Saccharomyces cerevisiae S288C: one gene and its partners. The gene in region 2 interacts genetically with the main gene of each other region. Each region holds a gene or a part of one and is shown on either strand. Other genes may lie near its edges.

Region 1 (7,350 bases), on a different chromosome or scaffold from region 2:
AAAAATATGAGCAGGATCTCCGCACCTTTTAAAAAAGGTTGAAAGGGCTTAAAAAACTGAAAGACTAAAACCTTTTTTTCGAGGCATAGGAAGCCTAGAGTACTTCGGGTAGACGATATAACAATGCAATAAAAATAGTATATTAATAAACATACGAAAAAAGGTTAATATATTCATTAATAATGTACTGATGGTAATTAATATACCGCAGAGTCTTGAAACTCGGCGGGTAAAAATTCTATATCCCATAAGGTCCATCAGGTGACTTTTTGTGATACTGTGTTATTGTTACTTTAAATTGGTTAATTATTCAATCAATTTCCAGTGATACAGTAGAAAACAAAGTCAAAGAATCGCAGTACCCGCTGGTCACGCCAAAAAAATAAAGCTTAATGTTCTTTTAGTCAACATATTCACTCAAAGATTGCATGATCACCATCAGAATGTGTGAGTAGGTTAGGCTGAACGGCAGTAGGAGCAATTACGTATGTTAGTAAATGGAAGGAGACCAGCATTATGGTTTATCTTATTTGGTCTTCCGTACACAAATAGTAGTGAATGTATGGTAAACATGCATGCGATGACTTAACTAAGGATTTACTGGTGTTGGATCAAATTTAATCTCTGCATGTATAGGCTATTCAATAATCATGAGGCGTTAAAGGATAGTTTACTTATCATTTTTCCTTCTTGAAGCATTTTCCCAGAGCTGATAGATATATTGAAGTAGTACTTATATACCTTTCAACTGATGCATGTGAATGCCTGCTTGGAACATCGGGAATAAGAATTATAGTAACAATACCAATTTCTCCAGCGGATTTGTCTATTTTCTTGGTACTTCATGCAAGGTGCATCCTTTTTCTCTTGAAATTCATTCTGAATGGCCATAACTGCCAATGTTCACCATTCCTAAAGACGACGTGTTTATCACTCCTAGTTGCTTGGAAGTTAGACAACATGAGGAATAATAACCTCAAGAGATTAAAAAATGCAAGTAACTATATTACATATTTATTATGCACACTTTGCCTTGCCACTTGTGTAATAGACCTGGGTTCTTGCCGAGGTGATATGCTCTTTAATAAAAGATCACCTCAATTCAAGACTAAAAATGGCGAGGTATAAATCTGCGTCGCTAACATGTACAATATTTTAATGTATACTCTCGCATATTTATATTTTCGTTTTTCACGGCTTTAATTAGCGTACGTGGTTTCTGATTTTTGCTTGAGTAATGCACTATTTATTAAGATAGCCGCCCAGGTTAAATTCTTGAATTACAACTACATGTCAGAGACGAACGAAAGAGAGAAATCAAGACGATGCAACAAAGATCAAATAGGAGAAGCTGCTCCTATATACCACTCGGGGTACATAATAATGCCGAAAAGAGCTTGTGCACCGAAGTTGCTCCAGCAAGAAAGAACAAAAGGTCTATTACGACTTCTCCCATAGTCAACATCAACGTTGTAGAAAGAAGACTGTTTAATTTGGAATTGGAAAAACAACAACTTCGTGCCAAAAATCTGTCTGAGAACACAGGTGGCGGAAGCCCCAATGGGGGTGCTTATCTGGACGCCAAAAAAGGAGTAAGAGAACAAGATCAATACCAAGGAGGTCCCTCGAAAGAGCTTGACAGGCTACAACCACCACCTTCAATGAAGAAAAGCCCTCCAAGGAAGAAGAAGAGCCTAAAGGACTTGATATATGAAACGAACAAGACATTCTATCAGGTGGATTCTAACAAGGTTAAATATAAGGTAGGTCTATCCAAGAAACAGCTATTACCATCCAAAACGGTAGACAACTAAGTTCAAAGAGGAGAACGTTTGAAAAAGAGTTCGGTGGCCCTCCACTTTTTTCAACGTGCAAAAGTTGTCCACAACTTACTTATCATTAGGCTAAAATTACAATTTATATCTTACGTATCCTTTATCTAATTTGCGACTGTAAACATAAATTTAGGATAATATTAGGAGAGACAGAGGGAACCGCAACTTTACTTCGTTTTCGATTGAGATAAAGTAGGTTGCTCGTCGATGGGCGCTTCGTCTGATAAACTTTCCAACCCATCATAAAGTGTTTTCCACAAATCAGAAACTGACTGGAATTCTCTTCCCACAGCTATCGAGCTCTCCAATGATATATTGAGACCATTCAGACCATTCAAGATTGAATTCATAGTCTCATTGATCTCCTGCAATACTATATTCCTCTGCTCGATGAAGTATTTGTCAGTGGTTGATATCAACTTTTCTTCATCATTGGATGTACTAGCCATCATATGTACATATATCCTCACACGTCCGAGCTCTTCATCAGTCCTATTCCTACGCTAATTACTACCTCCTCTTGTTAAAGGTGACTGTTTATTCCCTTTGTTATTTTCGCGGCCTTGACTTTTACCCGGAGGTGGCCCTTTCCGCTCAATGGTTCTAGTGATCGCCTATAACCGTGTAGTCATATTCATACACGTACAAATTCGTTTGTCTTTTCATATATATAGTTATATATGCTATGCTCGTTTGTGTATTTATTGGATTATGCAATCAAAATAATGATAGTTACGAATAGATAAATGCATTTACGGACTGAAATAAGCGCAGCTAAAAGAATATTCATTAGTTCTATCCTTTCTTTTCAATCACTAACTTGAGCATCGTCATTGTATCTTGGTTCAGCGTCGAAAATAAGCTCGTATTTTCTCCATTTTTGTCTTAGTTTACTATTTGGATCATTATACATTTCTTCGTCTTCTTTGTCAAATTCATCTAACCAATCCCACTTACTGTTGAAGTTGATTTTCGAACCGGTGGCGGAGGTGAAACTATTCGAATCTGCTTCTTCGCTAATCATATCATTCATCTCTACTTCATCGAAAATTAACGGCATATCAGAAGTCAGATAATTCCAGATTAATAACAGATAAAACCTCAAGCTCTTCACACCTCGTAAGAACCCTTTATCTTCTATATTTGGCGATTTTGGGGGTATACGAAATTTATCCATACATTCCATTGCATCTTCTTTAGTAACACAACGTGCAAAATCGATCAAGTTGACTTTAACATTAGCAGCTTTTTTCCTTTTAGAATTTGATTTATTAGCATCTCCATCGTACATTAGTAATAAAGACGCGCCATATAGCCTGTAACCTTTCAAATTAAAAATTTCAGAATACAAAGTATCTAGTTGCTTGATCAACCTTGGAATTTGCCTGATTAAACTTTCAATGGTCTTACCATCATACAAAAAACGTGCAAGTACCCTAGCAAATTGCCAACCAACCTTAACCCTTCTACCAAAGTATTTATCTCTTGTGATATAATAATCTTTGTTCCAAACCTTTAATCCGCAGATTCTAACGCCTAAACGCCTAGAAGTGGTCTTTAAACACTTTGCACGCTGTGACAGTTGCTTGGCTCTTTTGGCGTCTACGCCATATTGTCTTGTCCCCATCTTTAGATCCAGTGCACAAGGCTTGTTCATGTTTCTTGTCAAATCTTCCAATAAGATAAATTTTGAAACAATGGTGTGGGACGTCTCCTCAAACGTAATTGATTCAATATCATGATGACTATAGTCATTTGAAACATTATACGCCAATGACTTTATAATCATGTTTTTACCAGAGTCAAGATGGCAGCCGTGGTTATCCATATTTATAGTTTCGTTTCCCGTATCTTCATCCATATCAAAAACACCATCTTGTGCGTTGCTGATATAATTCGGGGAGGTGGCAAATTCGCCATCATCTCTAGAATTGGTTGCAGTGAGAATGGGTGATAAAGAGTTGCAGAAAGAGTTTTTATGTTTTATTTGTTCGTTTTTGTGGAATTGCTTCAAATCCATTACTGAATGCGAGCCATCTAAAGCATTAGATATTTTTTCATGAAGCGATTTTTTCAAGAAAGGATCCTGCAAATTCGGATTGACTTTCGAGTCATCCATCTGTAAACTCGCTTGTGACGATGAATCACCAAGAGTCTTCATAGACGTATTCGATGCATCATGGGACGAGGCTCTTGATTTTTGTGTTAAAAAAGATGGACTGGAACCCAAACGCGCATTATGGTTTCCCATTGTAGTCGTATTAGAGTTTCTTTTCCTTCTAAAACATTTCGGTGCAAATACTTCCCTTATGACTAGGTTCTTCAATTCAGTATTGATCATGGTGGACCCAGAATCGCGTCTTTTTAATTTATTTGTATTGCCACGCTCACCGAACGAACATGAGTTATGAGAAGAGGAGGACGAAAAGTACGAATCATTCGGTGCCGAGTTTGGAGAATCGGAATATTTGTACCACAGAGATTCCGGTATAATATGCCTGTTATCATTTAATACAACCTCGGGCAACAAGGAAGGTTGGTTGGAACTTGACAGTGATCTTTTCACGTGTGGATGGACAGACTCAATTTCAGGATGCTCTTTTTCAAGTACTTGTCTCGACGAATGTTCCAAGGGGAAGGAATGTATGTGTGTTAAGGGGGTCCCCGTGGGTTCTGTATTAAGCGCAATATCGTCGTTATTGTTATGATTGACTTCTATGTCTTTGTTTTCATTACTGGTATCATTTTTACCGTTGTTTTCTTGATCCAAATCGCTTAAAAAGTCATCTTTTGACTGAAAATGTTGCCTAACATTCAGGACACCAATATAACGTGGCATGAATTGCAATAATTCTTTATGGCACAGCTCTATATTCTCATACCACCTGTTTTCTCTATTCACTAGAGCCTTACAAACCGCTCTCTTCGAAAATCTGAATATTGCAGTGTGACCTCCAACTCTATTCGTAAATGGTTTTAGTTCAACTGCTAGGGGATATTCCCTATGTTCATTATCACCTTCATCCTCTTCTTCGTCCGCTTGCTCGCCTTCTTTATCTTGTTCAAACGTATTGGGTTTTTCTTTAATTGATTCGCTATGTGGCACAAACTGTTGAGGTTTTTTTTCGTTACTACGATTGTTGACGTTTTCTTGCCTTAGGGATTGTGATAAAGTTGAATATGTCTTAACTTTGAAAGTATGTCGGTTATATGAACTAGGAAGTGTCGCTATACCAGAGGCACAATTTATGGTGGCAGGCTGAATAGTATCAATATCATTTTCCATTTTATCCTTTTCTTCATAACCAGAATCTGCTTTACTTTTGTGAGGATAGTATGTTGCAGAAGAAACAGGCTTTAACGTTAAGTCCTCCGATATTCCATGTAAGCTCTCCTGATAAGTGGACTTAGGCGAAATACATCCCTCATCAACATTCTGAATTGGCTTTAAAGAAGTCTGGTGGTGTAACACCTGTGGTTGGTGTGATTGTTGTTTTGCGATATCCTCACCAGAGCCTTGACCTGTCTCAGTAATATTATTTCTATGCGCCACGTGTTTATTGGGCTTAATTGCCGGCTCCTCGTGGTTAGATAAAATGAAACTTGACAATGAAGAGGACAAAGTATCTGGGTTATTCTTTTTTTCAGAAACTTGTAGTCCTTCTGGTACCGATTTGGGAGTTGCTTCTGACCTTGTTATTTTGTCCGCGCATGTCACGGACCCGCCATTATTGCTATCTACACCATTGTTGTTATCGGCTAAACATTCATCATCTCTAAAAATTCTTAAATATGTACTCGCCTTTCTGCCATGTAAGACGGAGGAAAGTTTCTTCGTCTCAGGTACATTAAGATCTTTCAATGTTGTTATGCACCCTTCCGACTCTTTTTGGCGCAAATGCTGCTGCTGCTCTCTTAATGTATCGGGTATTTTATCATGAATTTCGTGAGAGGTATCCATAGTCTTTTAGCTTTAGTTTTATATATACAAAAAATAAAAAAAAGATTTGAGAAGACAGAAAGATGTACAAAATGAAAGAAAGAAGACAAAAGACAATTCTAATATAATAAGGTCAAACTGGGATTTTCCCTTTTGTTGGAGATATAATCCAACCAACAGAGACAAACAAGAACAGAAAAGTGTTTTTCGTCTTGATCCTGTATTGAAAAAAAAAAAAAAAAGCGATACGGCGCGAAGTTGAGGGGCCGGCGACACTTCTGCGATGAGTTCGAAAGAAGTGTTAATAATTTTTATGAAAGCAACTATTACTTATATATTTGTAACTTTACCGTTGTGGATGGCTAAGCTAAGTGGAAATAATATATGAAATACAGGTTTAATTATGTTTGGTTTAAGGTTAAATCAATGATTTTTTTTCATCACAAATACAAGAATAAGAAAAGCGAAGAACCCGTAATATGAAAGGATACGGGGTGTCAATGTTTCGTGCTGAAATCCAGTCGTTTGTGTCGTAACAACGATGGATTGGTTGTCATTTTTAGCATTACTTTTAAATTGGCCTGTGTTGTAGTAGTCTTCTAGCAGTTGATCTTTTTCTTTCCACACGCCCAGTAACCAATTGAAAAAAACTTCGTCATCTTGCAAAGGGATCTCATTAACTCTAAATTCCCTAATATAAAAATCTACTTTCTCCGGATAGACACCCATTAAGAATATTTTCTTCAAGGTGAATTTGGTGCCGACGTATTCCGTTCTCAAGGCGGGAGAATATCCAATAGTGACATCGTAGATAGCATCTAAACTAGGAGCTAGTTTTTCTACTGCAAACTTCAAGCCTTTAGAGTGCGGTAATAACAAATGTCTTAATTGGACATGGTCCAAATGTGCTCTTTGACAGAATGCCTCGCTTTTTTCTCTTGTCTTGAGGCTTAGATTTGTACCCTCAGGGAACATGATTAAATTATAAGCGGCAATGGATTCATTTGTCTTGGAATAACAACTCTTATAATTTGTAAGGGGCCCCTTGCACCTCGCGTTTAAGTCCATAGAAACCAAACTATTTGTTAAAGCTTTCTCATCCTTTTGCCAGTTCCTACTTAAAAATATAAACTTAAAATTTCGCATGCCAAATCCCAGTAATGGTATGTACTGCAGAGCTTTCTTCAGGATGATATAAACGTTACCACCCAAATTTGAAACAAAGGAAAGCCACCAGAGATAAATCCAGTCTGCATACATTTGATGATTTGCAATTATTATAGCCCTGTCTTTAAATCTAAAGCATGGCTTGGCGTTAGAAGAGTTCTTCAATGGCCGCGATGTTTCAAAAGTGACATTCAAAGAAGAGGGAGCCACCATGTTCAAGATCATGCATAATAAAACGATAAAAGCCTTCTTACTTTGATTTATACCATTTTGAAATCTAATCTTGCTCCAAGGGAGAAGCACCTGTAGACAGATCTGAAAAACGACAATACTCAGCGAGCCTGAAATGAACAAGCAAGCGATAAGCAGCCTTTGCAACCCTTTTATAAAGGGATTACCAGTCTTTTC
Region 2 (7,892 bases):
CCCCAATTATCATGTAAATACTCTTAACTCCATGCGTAATGCCCTTTCTATACAAATATCCACTACCCATTTTATGTATACTAGTGTAATTACCACCAAATAATCTCCACTAAAATCACCTAAATATAAAAATATATACTAATCATCAATAATAAGGTATAAACACACTATATATTAATATATCATTCCATTAGTACATTTATAACGCAGTATGTACAGGTGCCATACGTACAGTACTATTGTATTAATGATCCCATTTAACATTCAGTTATGTAAACGTTTTTCGTAGGAATGTAAGTTATTAACACCACCTTCTAGTTGAGCAGAAGCGGTTCTGAATTCAAATCTAACTTTACCGCTTTGGACATTTTCCTTTAGTAAAGTTAACGACCTACAGCCGATGTCTTGACAAGAATGTTGTAATCCATTGTACAAGTACGGAATAAATTTCTTAATGGATCCTTTGTCAACGACAGCGCCAGAGACACCTTGTGCGACCAAAACACTGTCTGATTCGGAAAAGTAACGGGAGGTAGATGCATTACCTTTGGTACCAGTCTTTTGCATGGCGTCAATGGAGCCCATACCACGATACGCCTTCAATCTTTTACCATCTTGATAGAGATATTCACCTGGTGATTCGGTAGTACCGGCCAACATACCACCCATCATAACAGTAGAAGAACCAAGAGCCAAAGCTTTGGTAATAATATGACCAATGTTTTTGAACACCACCATCAGCCATACATGGAACACCGAATTGGTTAGCAAATTCACACACGTTGTAGACGGCTGTACCTTGTGGCCTACCACAAGCCATAACTTTTTGGGTAATACAAATAGAGCCAGTTCCCATACCAATTCTCAAACCGTCCGCACCGGCAGCAATCAAATTGGCAGCTTGTTCCTTGGTGACAACGTTACCAGCAATGATTTCCAAATCTGGGAAAGTTTCTTTAATCCATTTGATCATGTTCAATTGGAAAATAGAGTTACCTTGAGAGGAATCCAATATGACGACATCCAAGCCAGCTTTTACCAATAATCTTAGTCTTTCTTTATCAGCGTCCATAGTCCCAATAGAAGCACCCCATAACAGTTGCTTGGTGTTGGCAGATTTGGACGCTAATGGGTACTTCTGATTTTTCATTAAATCAGTTCGGGAAAGCATAGAAACTAAGTTACCCTTTTCATCAACAACCAGTAGCCTACCCTTTTTGATTTTCTTTAGAATTTCGTTACCTTCTGATAATGTGATACCTTGTGCGCCGGTAACAGGGTTTTTGGTCATGACATCCTGAACGAGTAAAGAGTTGTCCTCAACGAATTGTATATCACGAGAGGTGATGGCACCCACCAACTTTGCATTTCTCTTTCCATCTGCCGTGACAGGGAAGCCTGCAAATCCATACTTTTCCTTCATGCTCTTAGCTTCACCAACGGTCGTAGTTGGAGAAATCACTATAGGGTTGTTAATAAACCCATTTTCATAGTTCTTGACTCTTCTGACCATGTCAGCTTGGTCCTCTGGAGTACAGTTATGGTGAATGAAACCGATACCATCCAACAGAGCCATAAAAGTGGCCATTTCAGATTCCGTCACAGTGTCCATTGGAGAGGATACTAATGGAATGTTTAAAGTAATATTCCTGGTTAGCTTGGTCTGTAGGCTAACTTCAGAGGACGCAAAATCGACTAAACCTGGTAAGATTAAAAAATCGTTATAAGCCAACCCACCTCTGATCTTGGAGTCCATCAGTTCCTGCACTGACAAACCATCCGGTCTTGGTAGGCTCTTGGTAAGATCTAGTGCGGTCTTGTAGTCTCTAATGGCGGCCATTGCTTTCGCTACTTGTGGAGTTATTAATTGCACATATTATATTTGATTCTTTTAATTTGTAATAAACAAAATGCGTCTATGACAGTTAAAAAGTATTTTTGAAATTGGTTATATAAAAAATGATAAGAAAAGTAAGGCAAGGAATAGAATAGAATACGGAAAAAAAGTTCCCAGCATACTAGGTAAAATGTACTAGCCCACGAAACTGAGAAAAAGCCGCCAAGGGTCTCCGGTTAAATGTTCGGCAAGAAATTTCCATTCGAATTTTTTTCTAAATGTTAAATGGGAAAAGACTCCACTATTTATACTTTTTTTTTTGTTTTTTCCGCTTTCTTCGAGAAGAAGAGATGCGCGGGGTACCTGCGCGGCGCGGCGGTTAGGAAAACCAATAATCTTGAATAAAAAGCAATGTAGAGAACAGACATGGTAGTATATGTACTTATACGGATGTTATTATATAATACTGCGGTCAACCGATCATTTACAGATCATGAGCCACTATATCATCCTACAACATCCGCTTAGTCAATCAATTGCCCTTTTCTTTCACTTCATACTTTTACTCTAGCATCATCTTTAAACGATATTATCATGTACTTGCCCTGACACAATATTAAAACATTGTACCACCTCATGTAAAGGGCATGTCGTGTCTATTGCATTAAATGATGGCGTTGCATATTTCTTATACATATACTCCTATCCTGGTTTTGCTAAAGAATGATAGAGTAATCACATACTGCGCCTTTGTGCTTACCTCTTTGGACTGTGATCGTCATTGCAATTTCGTATTTCTTGCCAGCAAAAGTGAAAAAAAAAAAAAAAAATAAATCGGTATTCATAATTAGTTTCTAAAATTACATAATCATATTATCTATTTACTGTTTTAATAAAGTGTCGTTGTAGTGCTTGGTATTCCAGTCCCAGAAAAAGGTCAATTCAGTAGAGTTACTGACGCTGCTGACGTTACAGACCTTTAGGAAGTCAGTACCGGCTACTCTCTTTTCAGCATAGTCGTAGAAGTCATTTATTTCACAGGAGAACCCTGGACCAGTAGAACAGGTTTCAATTGGAACGACAGCATCGTTGATGACGTATCTAACATAGGTGTCATTGGAACACTGGAACTTTTCAGTGTAAACACGAGCACCTTGTGGAACGTACCAGGATCTGTGGAAAGTGTTTTCCATGAATGGAACATGTTCGGCGGTCAAGTTATTTTTGTCATCGATTATGCCGATAGTGGTCAAATAGTTCAGAATATCGGTATCGTGGGTGAAACTCAACCAAACCTTTTGGTCCTGGACCTCACTTTCCTTTAGTAGTTTCACTGAAGCGTTGAACAAGTTGGCACCGACGGATCTGACGACGTCATAGCCTGGTCCCGTTTGATAATAAGTTTCCAAGTCTTGGCCGTAGGAGAAACGGACCAATTCATCTTTGGTGAAGATGTTACAGATGTCACTGTAACCTCTAGCGTTTATTTCATATGCACACCATGCAAAAAAAGTGTTTGCATCACTTGAAGTCAGATTCAAACCCTTGTTTTCCTTGTTTAATCTCTTGGCAATACCACTCAAATATTTGGTATCATATTTTTTCAAAATGTCATCGTTGACATCATCGTCCCAAGCAGGACACGAATGGTGGGCACTCAGAGTATTGGCACCAGCAGACTCGGCTTCACTGATGGTTTGCAAGGATATGTTGAATTTATCACCCAAACCGTCAATGAAATACTGGGCAGTATCATGACATCTGTTCGAGTTAGACGTAAAAACGGCAAAACTGGTTTGGTTTTCGACCATGTAGCCATATTGCGCCAAGAAATCACGAGCGTGTCTCTTAGCATTCATCTCACCGGTATATGGGTTCAAAACATTGACCGAATTGGCAAGTGTGGTTTCCATTTCTAGGTTTTTGGTGTCACGAATGAAAAATTCGTAGTCATCGTTCAAGAAAGACAATGCTCCGCTGAATTGACCGGTATAGTTACTCAATTTGTACCATGTTGTCATGATACTTTTGGCTTTGCTGACAGTGGGGTATCTTTCACCGTGTCTACCAACCATTTGCACTTGCTTCATTTCACAACTTTCCGGCAAATCACGAGAAATACCATAATCACCAGGGAAAGAGTAGTATGGCCCAGAACCACCCAAAAATGGGAAAATTTCCGTTTGAGTTCCGATTTTGTCAATGTCAGATAACTTTCCGAGGGGTATGGTACCTGCATTAACCAAAGAAGCGGCTAAAATTGAATAAACGGCTGACTTCAACATTGGTATTTCTGATGATGTTCTTGCTCTCTTTGCTGTTGTTGTTCCTCTTCTTCTTCTTCTTCTTCCTACTTTACAACCAAGGCGAAACTGAGCTTGAATCTATCGAAATGTAAGAGCTTATATACGTTTTACTTGGCAATTCGACGCTGTTTATGCTCATTCCAAAACGGGTATAACATATCTGGTGAGATGACCAATTTGGCAATGTGACGTGCGGAATATGGAATCTCTCCGGTAAACAGGGTCTGAAATTCTGTGTAATTTGCCTTTTTAAACCCACGTGTGAACGCCAAGATTGTGCGGCTTCGTTTAGGGATGTGTTCTGTTTTCTATTAACTTTTTACTCTTTCCTTCCTATTTCTTTTTTTTTTTTTTTTTTAGTACACATGAACTACAGAATGTTATGCGAAAACGTGGTAATTTAATAAATACGTGACACAGCGTATAAGAAAAAGCTTATCAAGGTTATCTCTGTCATTAAAACTTTATTAGACACCCACGATGAATGAAACGATGAAAGTAGATATAAGAAGTAGTCGGAAGTGAGAAAGAGAAAATGATAAAAGAACGAAAAAATCCCTTTATTTTCTCATCTTGATGTATAAAATAACTACTATATATTTGTGGCAGAAATCATACCTTTCATTTTTCATCGGCATAGATAATCTTGATTGTTTCACCTTAATACGCTTTTTTCAATGTCGTTTACAAAACAAGCTAGGTTTGCAAGATATCCTGGACTTTTTTTGTAATCTATGTGGCCACAGTATGGTTCGCACTTGCAACATGGTAGAGGCTGCCCAAAAACAAAACCGCATCACCTTTGGCAGCATTTACGTGAAACTCCATCCTCTTGTCAAACTTTGCACAGGAATCGTGTGGGCCCCACGAGTGTGAACCAGTAATTACATGTGCGGCTCTATTGGCATTGTTCATATCTGTAAAAGCAACTCCTGCTCCCAGTACCGTTTCTTTCCGTATTGGAAACGGTCACAGCACCGGTCTTGTAGACAATACCCGAGTTTAGCTAAATGTCACTTGGGCACTTTCTAATGACATTTCCAGCCAAAAGAAGTAATTTTGCTCATTTAAAAAAATAGTTTGCCATATCACAAAACAGTCGGTCGGATAATATCTCCTTCCAACAGTAGGAGAATGGAGGACCACACCCTTGTGGCCATCGTTGTTTTCTTTGGGAATGGTGAACCTTTCCATGTGTCGTTGTCTGTAGAAATGGTGTTCGTGCTGCTTCTTTCATCCACTAGAATTCATGAGGTAGTAGTTCTTATATGTTATAAACTTCAACACGCCACCTGGTCTTGGGGTAATATGAGCAAGAATTTCTCTCTTAAACCGGATATAAGTCTGAGCTTTCTGTTGGATATAATTTCTATAAATGATATATGCATCTACGGTTGCATTGCCCTTACAGTTGTGTTTATTTTATAAATCTACGTTTAGTATAAGAAAATTGTATTGTCGAGTCTTAGCTGAGTTCATATTTATTCAAAAAATTGGCCTAAATGTTATGTCTCTTTCTCGATCCATGAATTATTAGCAACACCGAGAATTGCAGCAGTGATGCTTCACATTAATGCATGTTCCTCCCTGTTGCCTTTTGGTAAAGTCATGGGCATATGATTACTCCGGGCGTCGCGCGGCTGAAGGCGTCTAAAATAAAATGTTCAAAAATGATATTAACTTTCTTATATATCTTAGACCTGCTATTTCTTTCTTCTTTTTTTTTATTTTGTATTCAATTGGTTTTCACTTTCTCGAAACGCAAGGCTTAAATAAATCAAGGACAGATTCGATAGCTTCTTTTGGGACAGTCAGCTCTTCAGAGGTAATTGCATGACTTCATGATTCGCGGAATACGAAATGAAAAGGGAGGTCCGTTTGAGGTAACTCAGTTCTTTACGAATCACATGCAATATTCAGGGTAAAAATCCAAGTTATCTAATTTTTTTTAAACTACCTTTTTCTTTTGTACATCACGTTTCACTATATATTCTACTACATCTATTTTCGGCCCAAAACTACAGCATTTGCAGAAACAAAACGACGCTTTCTGTTCCTGCTGATAGTATTCATGACACATTCCATATTGCATGTTGCATTTAAAACGAAGGGCCAAGCCATGGTCATGTGATTTCCATGTGCGGCAACTTCAAGACTTCTTCTTTTGGGCATAGGAAGACATTAAAAATATTATTTATGCATTATTCTTATGTCGGCTAATAGATTCAAAGAAACCCACGAAAAATTTACCGACCGCGCGAAATAAAAGTAAATGAAAAAAAAAAAAAAAAAAAAAAAAAAAAAAAAAAAAGAAGAATGTGTCTATCTTCATAATGGTGCCTTCGCTAAACCATCTTTTCTGACGCTTTATAGTTCGAACACAGCATTCTTCAACCGCGTAAAGTTAAAATCACTTGAATGTTTACACTGACGTTTATATATTAAAATACTTTCTACTTAGTTATTTTTAGGAAAGTACGGTTACGCACTCATTTTAAAAAAAAGCAAGGATGAAAATACCTGCCAAAGTACTTAAAGCATTGGTTCTCAAACCAGCAGCCATACCTTCGGATTGAACGACAATACCAGTGAAGGTGCTGGAAGCAGCAGTATGAGAAGTTGGAGCAGCAGACTTGGTGACTGTGCTAGTGGCCAATGATGTTTGTTTGGAAGCCTCGGAAGTGACAGTCTTGGTGTTACAGCCGTTGTCGTCACAGTGAGTAACGGTAACAGTAGTGTATGATTTTGGAGAAATGGTGGTTGCTGCAGTTTCTTTAGAACATTCAGAAGTGACAGTCTTGGTGTTACAGCCATTGTTGTCACAGTGAGTAACAGTAACAGTGGTGTATGACTTGGAGGAAACGGTTGCAGTTGCGTCGGTAGCAGTTGGTGCTGGAACATGGCATCCGTTTTCGTCACAAGATGTGATGGTGGCAGTGGTAGATGAGCATGGGACAGTTGTGGTAATGGTGTAAATGTTACCGCTAGCGTCGGTTGTTTCTGAACAGGAAACCACGACTGTACTTGTGGCATTCAAGTAAGTTAATGTAGTAGTGTAGACAGAAGCGGAACCTGAGGTGAAGCTGGTGGCGGATGCAGCGGATGCAGTAGAAGTAGTGGAAGCGGTGGAAGCAGTAGAAGCGATTGAACCAGATGCTGTAGTGGAGTTTGAGACACCAGAGATAGAGGCGCTAGATGAAGGAATTATTGAGTCTGGGGCGCTAGAAGAGATCGTAGAAGAGACGGTGGTAGAAGCGTTAGAGGATAAAGTGACTGAACCAGTGGCAGTAGAGACAACACCAGAGGTAGTGGATGCGGATGTGGATGCGGCGCTTGTAGCGATGACACCGTCATAGTTTAGGTAATATGAGTAGGCGCCTGCGAAGATTCCTTCGGAGACACTGAAGCCAGAACTAGAGAATCCAGTACCAATTTCAAAAGAGAATTGTCTGTTACCTTGGGTTGCAGTTAAGACACCAGTAGTACCGTCGTAAGAAAGAGCAGTGATGTCGGCGGTAATGGCAATTTGGTTCTTACCGGTGTAGCCAACAACAGGAATAGGAGTGGCGTTGGTTTCGGTTGGGTCAACGGCAAGAACACCTTCACCCTTGAATACAACAGTTTGGCCAGTAAAGGTGTCAGGGTAGTGCAAGTATAGGTTACCAGAGACGATGTTGATTGTACCGTTTCCAGAAACTGGTTCAACGATAACATAGGTACTTCCATTGTCTAGGTTGATTTCACCGTTA
Region 3 (6,279 bases), on a different chromosome or scaffold from region 2:
ACTTTATAACATACAATTCTGGTTAAAAGCGGTTGCTCCTGCCGCCGGGATTTAATCTGCGGCCTCACCCATACCTCAACTACCGCCATTGTTCGTACGTTTTAAATGGCTTCGCTTCACCCTTGATTGGCAAAGGGTCCAAGAGGGATCACATCACGATACTATTGTTTCTACTAATGTGCTGCGGGCTGATGTCCTCCACACGTCTTCAATTGCTTCTCTTTATGGGTTCTCAAAGTACTTCGTCATAATTACTTCATTATACCTAAGAAAATAATTTCATTTTTTTTCTGAATTTTTTAGCAGAAAAAAAAAAAGTTCAAGTTTGGCCTCATTCGCAATATTTTCTCCATGGAAACGGCTTGTATCTTGAGGCTTCTCCTACTTGTTTGGCGATTTTATTTTATTTTTCCTACTCTTATGGTCCCATATGTACATCTACATATCTCTTCAAATTACCAATACACTTTTAGGATAGCTAAATTTACTACTTCGTGTGGGAACTATATTCTGTTCACTTTTCTTTTTGATCCTTTCTTGACTGACATCATCCTTTTCTCATTCAGTAAATACCCCAATATTTCCTCATATCTCTAGAGGCATAAAAGATAAGAATAAAGGGAAGGAGCGCCACAGTAGTGTTGTTTTTGTAAGTGGTAAACACAGAAGAAGTAAGAACACATGACAATGACACACCAACAGGATTTGAAAGGTGTGTTCACCGCAAAGGATTTGGATTTTAAGCCCGCTGGCAAGATTACTAAAAAAGATTTGAATACAGGTGTCACTAAGGCAGAATATGCTGTAAGAGGAGCTATTCCAACCAGAGCTGACGAGCTAAAAGAGGAATTGAAAAAAAACCCAGAAGTTTTGCCTTTCGATGATATTATCAATGCGAACATTGGTAATCCGCAGCAACTGGATCAGAAGCCTTTGACCTTTACCAGGCAAGTACTGGCCATCCTGGAGTACCCGGAAATTTTACGAGTAGGCCATAATGAACTGGCTTCTTTGAACTTGTTTTCCAGGGACGCCTTGGAAAGAGCTGAGCGCCTCTTGAATGATATTGGCGGTTCTATAGGGGCATATTCGCATTCTCAAGGTGTGCCAGGAATAAGGCAAACAGTTGCTGACTTCATTACTAGAAGAGACGGCGGTGAGCCCGCTACACCGGAAGATATTTATTTAACCACTGGCGCTTCGTCCGCGGCAACTTCTTTGTTATCTTTATTGTGTAAAGATTCTCAAACAGGCCTGCTGATTCCAATTCCGCAGTATCCGCTTTATACTGCATCCGCATCTCTTTTCAATGCACAAGTGCTGCCATACTACTTAGATGAGGAGTCAAATTGGTCTACAAACAGCGACGAAATTGAAAAAGTAGTGCAAGATGCTTTGAAAAAACAGATCAGACCATCTGTGCTGATAGTTATTAATCCAGGTAACCCAACCGGTGCAGTTCTTTCTGAAGAAACCATTGCCAGGATCTGTTTGATCGCTGCGAAATACGGCATTACAATCATTTCTGATGAGGTCTATCAAGAAAACATTTTCAACGATGTTAAATTTCATTCGATGAAGAAAGTCCTAAGAAAATTGCAGCATCTTTATCCAGGAAAATTCGATAACGTTCAGCTCGCCTCTTTACACTCCATTTCTAAAGGATTCATGGATGAGTGCGGCCAAAGAGGCGGTTACATGGAAATTATTGGGTTTTCTCAAGAAATAAGAGATGCTCTTTTCAAACTCATGTCTATATCCATATGTTCTGTTGTCACAGGACAAGCTGTGGTTGATTTAATGGTCAAACCACCCCAGCCTGGAGACGAGTCCTATGAACAAGATCATGACGAAAGGCTGAAAATTTTTCATGAAATGCGTACGAGAGCAAACTTATTGTACGAGACGTTTAAGGAACTAGAGGGTATCGAATGCCAAAAACCTCAGGGTGCAATGTATCTTTTCCCTAGGCTTGTTTTACCTAAGAAAGCTCTTTGTGAAAGCGAACGCCTTGGCATCGAACCTGATGAGTTCTATTGCACATCTTTGCTAGAATCTACAGGTATTTGTACTGTCCCAGGGTCTGGGTTCGGACAAAGACCCGGGACTTATCATGTGCGAACAACGTTTTTGGCTCCAGGGACTAAATGGATTCAAGACTGGAAAGAATTTCATCAAGATTTCTTCAGCAAGTATCGTAATTGAATGAAAAAAAAAAACTAATGATAATGGCTTTCTATTTGTTTTGCATCCATGGTGGGGGTGAAGTTTAAATTTGTAATAGTATACATGCATCATTCTTTACTAAGGGAAATAAGGAAAAGTATATATCTGCCTCTTGTAATATTGTTCAAGGAAATAAATTTTGGAGCATTCCTCTGCATCTATTGTTCAATTAAAAAAAAAAAAAAAAAAAAAAAAAAAAAAAAAAAGTAATTATTCATATAAAACCACCTTGCGGGCAAGATCATATTATCCAAGTTGATACTTATTTAAAAATATAAAAATTTTTTAACCGCGTACATTAAATACAGGGTCATATACAGGAAGAGCTTTCAACACCTTTTTGAATACTTTATATGCAATAGGTGCTTTTTTTTTTCACCTATGGTGACTCCTCCTTTCATTCTATCCTACATATTATTACAATTCCATTGATGTGCCAAAGTCTCTTGTTTGATCTCCATTACCCTGTTGGTCTAATTTCTGTCGTTTTGTTGACGGCGATTCCAGAGTTTGATAGTAGGAAGTTTCTGGTCTAGTTATTTCGACACTTTGATCTACTTGTGATGCACCGTCACTTTCTTTTTGATCCCCTTTTTCAGGCTCTTCTGTTCCCTGCATTGGGGCTGCCACGCCGGTGGACTCTATTCGGTCCTCATCGACATTATGAGGAGGCTTTTCTTCGGGAGTTAAGGTATTAGGTTCAAATTCGCCCTCTGAAGAATCATGTGCCAAATCATCATACTCATCGATATAGTTTTTTTCAGTTAGATCAAATTGTTTTTGCACTTCTTCTTCAAAGTTATCATTTCCTATATTGTTATTATGAAGAATTCCATTATTGTTACAGCTATTATCCGCTTCATTAGCAAGGGCAAAAGTATTGACATCTTCCAAATATATAAGACCTTTTCCACCTGCCATCTTGAACATATTACGGGAATATGTGTTTTCTATAACCCTTTCTCTCTTAGTCTCAAACTTGGCATTGTGACCTGGAACTTCACTAAGTAGTACTTGCACAGGTTTACGTTTCGTTCTCTTATTTCTCCTTCGGTTGAATCTGTAAGGGCCATATCTTAGGCACTTACCCCAATCGGCTAGACATTCCTTCTTATAACTATTTAGAGCATACTGAATGCACAGTATACCCCCAGTATGAAATCTCGCAGAACTCTTCAAACCCAAGCCAATACGGAGACCGTATTTTGATGCAATTTCTTCACAAATATCATAAAGATCATCTTTATCTAAAGTGCTTGATGTTACGAAAATTGGAACCCTAGCAAATGTTAAAAAAAGTGAGGAAACAACTGGGATAAGATGTTTGAATTTGGTACTCTTAAGTGGTAATAACCACATAAAACTAGAGCGATAGTCTCGGCATAAAAGGACATAAGAATATTTTCCCTCAATAGCTTCTCCATTGAAGGGTTCGAATACCTCAATATGTATCCTTTCCATTGGTAGTAGTTTATCGTACATGTCAGGACGTTTATATTCCTTCAATGGTTTAATTTTGCCCTTTTTATTACATTTTGAACAAAATTGCTGGACCCAATCGATGATGGCATGACTAATATTGGCAAAATGAGAAAATAAAAAGGAATGTAATGTTTTACCCCTAAGATGCTTATTCATCAAGTGTGTTGCCATCACCATGTCGTATACATGCTTTGGCTCACAGTATATTTTATCATTATTTCGGCCATCTCTAACATTTCCTTCATCATCAACATAATACTGTCTTTGCAAAAATAACAGCTTGTTTTCTGCCACTACACCATCGTATTTATCACTTATTTGTTGCAAGGTATCTGCAGTTAAAGATTTTGTTTTTATTAGTTCATATATTTTCTGCGTTAGTTGTCTTGTCAGAGATTCAAGAAAGATTGGTGTTTCTCTTTCTCCCCTTTCCAATAATTCTAAGTTCAAATAAGAGTCTACGTACTCAGTATATGATTCCCCCATAGAGGGAAGTATCAGTAGACGATCTTTTGAGGACTCTCTTGATTCCCCAGGTGACGTTGCCTTTCTTCTCTGCGATTTCCTCGTAACTGATTCTGATGGTACCGAGTCATCATCATCAAACAACACGTCATTGTAACGCGGTTTCGTCATTGTTATCCTCAGCACAAATTCACACTCACACAATCGTTAAATTGTTCTCCCCCCTGAAGGCTTAATTCAATGTCGTTAAAATGAATACATGCGATGAGGAATCACCTCGCAATTTTTTTTTCTTTTCAATATATCGCGAAAAAGAAAAAATATCAGTATTATCATGTAAATAATTATGGCTGACACCTCATATTGAATGTGGGGGTAAAGATACTCTGGGTTTCTTGTTTTGATATATATAAGCTCTTCCTGGAAACCTCGATCACAATGTTAGGTATGATGAAGAAATTGAACCTTTATAACACCCGTTTGACTAAATGCTACAGACCAGTATTAGTAAATGTGGAAAGCTGCACACCCAGACCGCTGAGTACAATGAAAAGATGTAAAGAGACGAAGGAACAAACATCTGCAAAGTACATTATTAAGGCTATATGAAAAGCAGGAAACGCCAAAACAATATGCAAAATGAAACACGGGAGCCAGCGGTATTGTCGTCACAGGAAACCTCGATTTCTCGCATTTCTCCACAAGATCCAGAAGCAAAATTCTACGTTGGTGTAGATGTCGGAACAGGCTCTGCAAGGGCATGTGTTATCGATCAATCTGGTAACATGTTGTCGCTAGCAGAAAAACCCATAAAAAGGGAACAATTGATATCCAATTTTATTACTCAGTCTTCAAGAGAAATCTGGAATGCAGTTTGCTATTGTGTTAGAACTGTTGTTGAAGAATCAGGAGTTGACCCTGAAAGAGTTCGTGGAATTGGTTTTGATGCGACTTGTTCCTTAGTAGTCGTATCCGCTACCAATTTTGAAGAAATTGCAGTTGGACCGGATTTTACCAATAATGACCAGAATATCATATTATGGATGGACCATAGGGCGATGAAGGAGACTGAAGAAATCAACTCATCTGGTGATAAATGTTTAAAATATGTGGGAGGGCAAATGTCTGTTGAAATGGAAATTCCGAAGATTAAGTGGTTGAAGAACAACTTAGAAGCTGGAATTTTTCAGGATTGTAAGTTTTTTGACCTTCCGGATTACTTGACTTTCAAAGCCACGGGAAAAGAGAATAGGTCATTTTGTTCTGCTGTTTGTAAGCAGGGATTTCTACCAGTGGGTGTCGAAGGTTCCGATATAGGCTGGTCCAAAGAATTCTTAAATTCAATTGGGCTTTCAGAGCTTACGAAGAATGATTTTGAAAGACTGGGTGGATCGTTAAGGGAAAAAAAAAACTTTCTGACCGCAGGTGAATGTATCAGCCCGTTAGATAAAAAGGCTGCCTGTCAATTAGGCTTGACAGAGCATTGTGTAGTAAGTTCAGGAATTATTGATGCATATGCAGGCTGGGTAGGGACGGTAGCCGCCAAGCCGGAATCAGCAGTAAAAGGTCTTGCCGAGACCGAAAATTATAAAAAGGATTTCAATGGTGCAATTGGCAGATTGGCAGCTGTTGCCGGTACGTCTACGTGTCATATTTTGTTATCAAAAAACCCTATATTTGTCCATGGCGTTTGGGGGCCTTATAGAGATGTCCTTGCAAGAGGCTTTTGGGCGGCAGAAGGCGGCCAAAGCTGTACAGGCGTTCTTTTAGATCATTTAATAACGACGCATCCAGCTTTCACTGAGCTATCCCATATGGCTAATTTGGCAGGTGTGTCGAAATTCGAATATTTAAACAAAATACTTGAAACCTTGGTCGAGAAGCGCAAAGTAAGATCTGTTATTTCTTTAGCTAAGCACTTGTTTTTTTATGGTGACTATCACGGTAATCGATCACCGATAGCAGATCCGAATATGCGCGCTTGTATTATAGGACAATCTATGGATAACTCAATTGAAGACTTAGCGGTTATGTATTTGAGTGCCTGTGAATTCATATCACAACAAACAAGACAAATCATTGAAGTAATGCTAAAAAGTGGGCATG

Evidence for each region.
Region 1: of PHO11 (region 2) and KCS1, changing one suppresses a phenotype caused by changing the other (phenotypic suppression), as found in Saccharomyces cerevisiae (one study listed by BioGRID).
Region 3: of PHO11 (region 2) and FOB1, changing one suppresses a phenotype caused by changing the other (phenotypic suppression), as found in Saccharomyces cerevisiae (one study listed by BioGRID).

The regions. Positions count from the first base shown.
Region 1 is NC_001136.10:476,472-483,821, forward strand, and holds KCS1 (inositol polyphosphate kinase KCS1), read right to left. Parts: upstream 5,797-7,350; coding exon 2,644-5,796; downstream 1-2,643. Other genes in the region: HED1 (Hed1p), read left to right, coding at 1,326-1,814; DAD1 (Dad1p), read right to left, coding at 2,003-2,287; MLG1 (putative acyltransferase), read right to left, coding at 6,199-7,350. UniProt on the Saccharomyces cerevisiae protein: Converts inositol hexakisphosphate (InsP6) to diphosphoinositol pentakisphosphate (InsP7/PP-InsP5). Involved in phosphate regulation and polyphosphate accumulation.
Region 2 is NC_001133.9:221,690-229,581, reverse strand, and holds PHO11 (acid phosphatase PHO11), read right to left. Parts: upstream 4,123-7,892; coding exon 2,719-4,122; downstream 1-2,718. Other genes in the region: YAR068W (uncharacterized protein), read right to left, coding at 6,691-7,176.
Region 3 is NC_001136.10:674,167-680,445, reverse strand, and holds FOB1 (replication fork barrier binding protein FOB1), read right to left. Parts: upstream 4,345-6,279; coding exon 2,644-4,344; downstream 1-2,643. Other genes in the region: alanine transaminase ALT2, read left to right, coding at 682-2,205; YDR109C (putative phosphotransferase), read left to right, coding at 4,779-6,279.